Linked DNA regions of Nothobranchius furzeri. The protein of the gene in region 2 purifies or fractionates together with the protein of the main gene of each other region. This does not show direct contact. Links are inferred from orthologs where the notes say so. Each region holds a gene or a part of one and is shown on either strand. Other genes may lie near its edges.

What was found. The genes of interacting proteins can lie anywhere in the genome.
Region 1: the proteins of phlpp2 (region 2) and usp1 purify together in Homo sapiens (affinity purification with mass spectrometry; 3 studies listed by BioGRID and IntAct, with this or other methods). This does not show direct contact. The link is inferred for Nothobranchius furzeri from reciprocal best matches to the Homo sapiens genes PHLPP2 and USP1.

What each region holds. Positions count from the first base shown.
Region 1 is NC_091748.1:69,501,368-69,505,488, forward strand, and holds the start of usp1 (ubiquitin carboxyl-terminal hydrolase 1), read right to left. Parts: upstream 2,804-4,121; 5' UTR 2,580-2,803; coding exon 2,419-2,579; intron 2,264-2,418; coding exon 2,119-2,263; intron 1-2,118. UniProt on the Homo sapiens protein: Negative regulator of DNA damage repair which specifically deubiquitinates monoubiquitinated FANCD2. Also involved in PCNA-mediated translesion synthesis (TLS) by deubiquitinating monoubiquitinated PCNA.
Region 2 is NC_091749.1:59,321,387-59,324,739, forward strand, and holds part of phlpp2 (PH domain leucine-rich repeat-containing protein phosphatase 2), read right to left. Parts: intron 2,973-3,353; coding exon 2,772-2,972; intron 2,647-2,771; coding exon 2,484-2,646; intron 2,395-2,483; coding exon 2,264-2,394; intron 663-2,263; coding exon 549-662; intron 282-548; coding exon 87-281; intron 1-86. UniProt on the Homo sapiens protein: Protein phosphatase involved in regulation of Akt and PKC signaling.

The DNA of each region.
Region 1 (4,121 bases), on a different chromosome or scaffold from region 2:
ACATTAGCTGGTACATTCTGACATCACAACATCATTTTGAGCCTGTGGCCATTTCTCAGTACTCAAGGATGCTAGTATGTTCATGTGTACTAGACAAGTATGTTCTTGGCAAGGACACCAGAAAGTCTGTTCTACCGAGTACGGGAGGACGAGGACGGCATTTGGAACAGAACCGTACTCCGTTGTGTCCTGGCAACAAGCGCTGCTTCTTGCTACAGATAAAAAAATGATCTGACATTAAAACAAAAGTCTAGTTCGTTACTTAAATAATAAAAAAAAAAGTATTATTTGTATTATATTGGGCCCACTTTTGATCGAAACTATTAAAATACTAGCATTTCCCACTTTTTAATGAATAAAAAGTTTATTATTCAATTCAATTCAAAGATACTTTATTAATCCCAGAGGGAAATTAGTTTCAGTACACACAATTCTGAGATCAGACACGGCAAGAATTGGTGACTGTGGTCATTCGCAACCCGAGTCGCGCTACCTTAATAGAGATCAGAGGGTTTACATGAGGATTGAGTCAGGTGGAGGGAAAAAAGGCACTTCAGAGTTACCCTCCACAGGGAGGACAGCATTGCTACGCAAAACACACCTCAGACAGAAATGCAACAGACTTCAGACATTACACAACATAAGTGTCCACTAGGTGGGGTGGTAGGGTTTCGGGACTCTCCACACATCAGCAGCAGCCGCGATAAGCAGCGCTCTCCACCTCAGTCTGGATAGGGGTGGGGGGTTGTTGGGTTTACAGAGCACAGTGACTTCTGGAACGATTCAGCGGCCTTCACAGCTCGCAGTCCCACCCAGGCCGGGATAGGGAGACAGAGTTGCCATGGCAACGGCAGCATTCCACATTTCTTCTGAGGGAGGGTATTTGTTTCAGCCTCACAGGCTCAAGGGCACCAGATTCAGACAAGCCAGTTTCCAGAAAAAATGTAGAAGCTCCGCACACCCAAAGACAAACAAAGAGCCTTGGGGATAAGATAGGGAGGAGAGGAGGAAAAAGGCGTCTGTACTCTCCAAGAGCCGGAAGAAGATCATCAGAACAGAGCTACAGTGCTTTTATTTTGATAGTGGGTTAGCTAATTAGCATTTTGAAGGATCGGGAAGAGTAATACACACAGCAAAATTTACAGTTTACACGCGAATATTTACAATAACAGACAACTTTGTTACTTTATTTATATCTCCAATGTAAAACATTAGTTATTCGCTTTTTCCTCTGACATTCGGAGTTTAACGGTTTGCAACGCAATGCATTATGGGAAACTGCTGTCCCATGTCCGCAGAAGGATGCATTGATGCATCCTCGATACAATGGGTGGAGCAAGAACACATCCGGGAACTTTGAGCCGTTATGCATACATAGGATTGGAAAAGTCCTCGTTGATGACGTTTCATAAGGACACGAGTACACAAGCTCGGACAAGTATGCACACTGAGAAACGGCCTGTGTGTAATTGTTAGCGGCTCCACCCTCTTGGTCTGCCAGGCAACAGCATTTGTTGCAGTTTTCAAACATGAAGTGGGAGCAGAGCAGGGCTATTCAATCCTGGTCCTGGAGGGCTGGTATGCAGCACGTTTTAGTGGTTTTTCTGCTCCGAAACACCAGATTCTGTGGTTGAATCACCTGTGCAGCAGCTCATCAAGCTCTGCAAAAGCTCGTTAATCACCTGCTGATTGAAATCAGGTGTGTTGAAGCAGAGCTAAAACTAAAATGTGCTGGAAACCAGCTCTCCAGGCCCAGAACTGAATAGCCCTGGAGTACAGTAAGTTTCTTGTAGGGGGGGTGACTTGCTCTTTAAGTTCAGTGCCTTGCATTCTTTATTTTCTACAAGTTGCAAAGTTCATTCAAAGTTGTTGTTGAATTAAGTCTCATCCCTGTTTTAGTTATTAGATCTTAACTGACTTTATCACAGCAAAGAAGTTTGCAAAAGTAAATTGCAATTGCACCATACATGTAAAATAAAGTCTATGAATACAAGCCAACACGTCAAATGAAGAAAATATGATTTTTCCCAATTTAAGATCATTTTTGAATTGTCACATTTCACAAGTTTAACAAAATTGGTATTAGTTATTAGTTTGCAGTTTCATTTAAATACTAACCTGTAAAATACTATTTAAATAGCAGGTGTTGCCCAGGTTATTGAGACCCACGAAAGGAATCAAGTTATCTTTCTTCTCACATGAGGCTGGAAGACCAGGTGATGCTTGATAAGGAGAGGGACCATAGACCACCTGTTCACAGGTGCTGAAGGGCGAAAACAGGAAAAAGAAAAACTCACGAGGGCTTCACAAGAATCACGTGTTGAAAATAAAACATAGATACAAGTGTTACGGGTAGTGTTAGTGCTCAATTTGAAGTTTTAGTGATCAGTTATCAACCAATCATCAGGAACTTCCTACCTTCCCTCTGGTTCGGTTGTTTTGGGTTCCTCTGCAGGAGGTTCAGAGAAATCCAGAGCTCGCTTGGCTTCTTTCTTCTGGAAAAACTTCAGAGACAGTCTACTCTTTTTCACCGGACTCCCATGTGCCGGCCCAGCACTCTCACCTTGCAGATTTGACATGTTTTCTAAGGTACCTTTAATTTTTCAACCAAGACGCAACAGCACCCTACTGGCCAAAATAAAAACGGCAACATCCAATTTCGATGGGCGCCATCAGAGTTCCACACGAACGAACGTAACCTACGCACTCAAGTTTGGGTTCTAGTTATAAGCAAATTGGCTTGAGAATAGCAGTGTTGTTTGTTCTAGTTCAACAAACTACACCCAATTACCGACTAAACAAAGAATTTTATAAACACACCAGCTGGCTTCAGCTGACTTAACGATTTAAGCATGGCGACACCACACCTCCTCAACTAGTGTGGAGCCGTTGTATTGTACTATTTGGGAAATGCTAACATGAAACTAGCACGCAGTTAAAATAGGTTTTCAGCTATTTTCACAACACACAGTAACGAAACTAGGTCGGCATTGAGGTGTTGTGAAGAAGTGGGAGGAGTAAACAGGCAGCACGCTGCCTCTACAAGCAAACGAGCAGTCTTAATTAAAATAGCGAGCTGACCGTTTTAATTCTCACCTAAAAGATTCATTCCGATTTTACATGTGATAAATTATCCCAAATGTCCCGTCTTTTGAACCGTTTTGACTAATCGGACGGCGGTGGAGAAGTTGGCGCTTTTTCCTGCTAAAGAACCCACTAGCCGTTACTCTGCCGGTGAAGCCCTTCCTTCATTTAGAAAATATCTGTCAAAATTTAGCAAAAATACGGCTTAAAAATACATGATAGACTATTATAAAAACATTTAATTTGAACAGACTTGTTTAAAAAGACATGAAAAGATATATTGGCATTTTATACAGCAGGCATAAATTAAGCCACCTCCAAAAAAGCCTGCTTGTCAAAGACGCCATATTGTAGTTTTAGAAAGGGGCAGGCAGGATCTGGCTGCGAACAGCTTAGGCCAGGCAAAATTTTCATGATAACAAAAAAGTACAGTACACAGACATTATCATCATCTCTTGGCCAGGCCAATGTTCTTCCGGACCTTAATAGTTTAAAACGTTTAACACGTTAAAATATCGTATTTCTGAAAATGTAATTTCATATCAAAGTGTAAACGAAGACGTTTGAAAACAATTGAACTGGCACATTTACCATGGGTTCATTTGTGTCATTTGTTTTTTGCGTGTGACTTAATTATGATAAGTACAAATACCAGATTTTTAGTTGTTTAATTTAGCATATTTCATCAAATGGTAGTGATTTATTATACATTAATCTTTGGGGTCTCTCTCTCTCTCTCTCTCTCTCTCTCTCTCTCTCTCTCTCTCTCTCTCTTCATATTTATTTATTTATTTTACTACTGAAATCTTCTTTTTGTGACTGTTATTTTGAAAAAAATATAAGCGGAAATTCATATTTCCCTATCCAAATCAATTGGTCCCTTGCAGAACCAAAACTAATTTAACATTTAGATAAAACATACATTTTCCCATACATTGTAAATATGATAAACCATTTAATGCACTGTGAAATAAAACAGATCTCCCCGTTAAACTGCTGTTACATCTGATCACCAACAGGGAGCGAAATAATCCAGG
Region 2 (3,353 bases):
AAAATCATACATTACTCCTGAAAAGGGGAAAACTCCAGATTGCTGCTTTAAATAAAATAATTAAATACTATTAAAAATGGCCTTACCTGTGTGAGGTGAGAAAAGTGTTACACATGTATACAGTGTCTACGCTGGAATGCTGCAAATCCTCACACAGCACATCTCCCATGGTGCACTGCAGCAGCCGAGGCACTTGCTCGTTGCGATCGCCGTCAAAGATACCATAGCAAGCTTCCACGCTGTCTCTAAAGTGGTCTACAGCCAGCACAGACACACACAACCTGTACCAGACAATAATAAAACATGAACGTCTGCAAACCTCTTACACGCCACAGATTTAACAAGACAGGCTGAAAACTGACAAGCTGTTTGGGTCCCTGTGGTTGCTAGAACCCCACAGGAAGGCTTTAAATTCAGATACCACCTTAAAAGTTGTTTGTGTAGTAATGCAGTAAAATAAATGTCTTATTTCTCTTCCAGTTTGAGTCATTTTTAAGCTGCGTTTCTCCATGCAATTCAATCACTGAAAGCCAAAACACAGTACACACTTATTTCTTTGGCCTCTCATTTCAGAGTAACCGTGGCGCCACAGCGTTGAGGAACTCAGCGAGTCACCCGACGTCGTTGTGGATTTCTGGTCCAGTTTCAGTGTAGTAATATTACTGAAAAAGGAAAAATACAATACTGACAAAGCAGACGTTTTCTAGATCGACACTCCAAGTAACTTCTCATTATTATTTTTGTAACTATGTATTTCCCATTTATTTTCTACACTCTAAGAAATGAAATGTTGATTTTGCTTAGCCAACTGGTTCCACTAAACCTAGCTGCTTAAATGTAAAAAGTAATATACATTGTTATACAATGTTATGTTACAGGTAAATATATATTACTCTTTACACTGAGCTGTTTCCTGCTCCTCCCCCCTCCTGGCTGAAAGTGGAATTACAACTGTCGTAAACAACCATGCAGCAGCCTGCTGTAGCTAGCGCTAACAACAAGCTAACACTAATATGAGCCAACTAATACTAACATAGACCACAAAGTAAAACATATCCACTGGACAAAAAGTATTATTACTTACAAGTCCAGTAGCAACAAAGCCAGGTCACCATCAGTCCGTGATTTTGTAGCCTCCTTCAGCTCCCTCAAACTAGTGTAGGTCGCACCGATGCTCACTCTAGTTTTAGCTTTTTACTTCACCTCCAAATACATTATTCTCTTAGTTTTACTTCCAGGATCCACCTTGATGACAACAGAAAAGACAAACTTCTTCTTTTTCTTCTTCTTGGGCTCTTTAATGACTATTGGCAAACTGAAAAAGCTAACTGCTAGCAAAACAACTAACAACTGTAAAGCAGGTAAAAAGCACCTATCAGCTCCACAAAACTGTTAAGTGCAGTATCTGTCCAACTGCAGAATAGTGTCAGATATGAAATTGGTCAAGTTTCTAACTCAACAATCACTTAGATCAATGTTAAAGCTCCAGCCTAAAGTTTGAAAAACTATGTAGTGTTACTAGGTTAGTGGAACCAGTTGACATAACTTGGTTAAAGGTCAAATTCCCTGAAAACCCTTTTTTTAGTTATTATTTCTGATTATAATCAGTTTTTTATGCAGCCCGAACATAAAAATAGTGTCCTACACCTATCTCCTGCATTAGCTTCTGATAGAAAATAGACAGTGAAACTTCAGGATTTGAAAATTCTGACAGATCTACGCCACACTGCTTAACATTCATGAACTCACCCATCTTGACTCGTTACGGGGGAAGGCTCGGGTCTGTTAGCGTCCAGGAATCAGCAGAGAACGTTTCGACTAGCAGAAGCTAACGGTTAGCATTAGCAACTCCACCACACAGCAGCATTCCTTCAGGCTTGTGTTATTTGTGGAGATAAAACATCAACATTGCAAAACAAGCGGAGTCAGTGGTAGAGTTGCACTGCTGTGAGCCTATCTGAAGTGAGATGTCCAAATATCAGTAAATAAGACTCTAAATCCTGTCATCCTGCCACTTTCTCATCCAGCTCAATTCTAAATTCTCAAACAGGCGCACCAGAGCTTTATTTCCCCAGACTATGACTTACAAGGCTTTCATTAATTAGAGAATACAAATGTTTTAAAATATGAGTAAAGTTGACCTTTAAGTAATCTCAAGAGTTCATTTCTTAGAGTGTATTGCACATTAGATGCTGCTTTCAGACATCTACCCAATTCGAAGAGATTCAATTTGATTCTTAAGTGAACGGCTCACGGAACTCACCTAAAGAAGTTAAGGGTTTTGTTTTCCAGCGTGAGGCTGCCGTTTCCTGTCAGATCCAGCTCTTGCAGCGTAGCAGGCAGAGACTCGGGAAGCTGGATCTCTGTCAGCTCATTACAGCTCAGATCTACTAGCTGCACGCAGAAAAAAGCAAACGTGAGAGCAAACGTGAGCTGAAACATGCTGAGGTCAATCGTGTGTGGTCAGATGGACCGGGTCTGACCTTGATTTCGGGCAGGTTGAGGATGTCGGGGAAGGTGTTTATGTGATTGGAGTGTGCTATGAGCGTGTGCAGCCTCTTGCAACTGGACACAGTCGAGGGGATTGTCTTTAGCTTGTTGCCACTTAAATTTAGCTCCTCTAGCAGTTCCAGCTTACTCAGCTTACTGGATAAATGGCACATGGAAAAATAATCTCAGATAACAGCAAATCACTATTCATTATATCAGATTCATTCAAAAGTTGTCAATGTTATAAATGCTTCAAAGACAGTGAAGGTTTGGGGTCAGACCTGGCTGGAAAGGAGAGCAGCTGGTTGTAGGCTATGTGAAGGATCCGCAGGTTCTGGTGTCCTACCAGCAGCGCTCCACAGTCCTCGTTCAGGTTGTTCCCCGTCAGGTAGAGCTCCTGGAGTGTGCTGAGGCTCTCCTCTGATTGGCTGCTAAGAGGAACACTTTCCAGGGCATTGGCTGACACGTTTAGGTATTTCAGACTTAAAAGAATAATAATAAAACAAATTAGGATATATCGTCAGGTGTGCAATAGTCTTTATTAGATGGATTAAAGCTATAATTCTAACTTTAACTATGGCTGCTTGTGCAGTTATTAAAATAGAGATGAGAATTTACAGTGCTCAACTAATTAAATTCATTCTTGATATAAGAATTTTATGTGGAAGACTTAAAAAAATAAAGTCATAACACTTATGCATCTTCATGCATATAATTAACAAATACATATTGTGGCTGTGATACGTTTGCAACTGCAGGGGAGCATTTTCACACAACACAATAAGACAGAAAACAGGCTTTTTATAAAAAAAAAAGACTGAAATATTTTACAAAACAATCGACCAACTTCATTGCTAAAATTT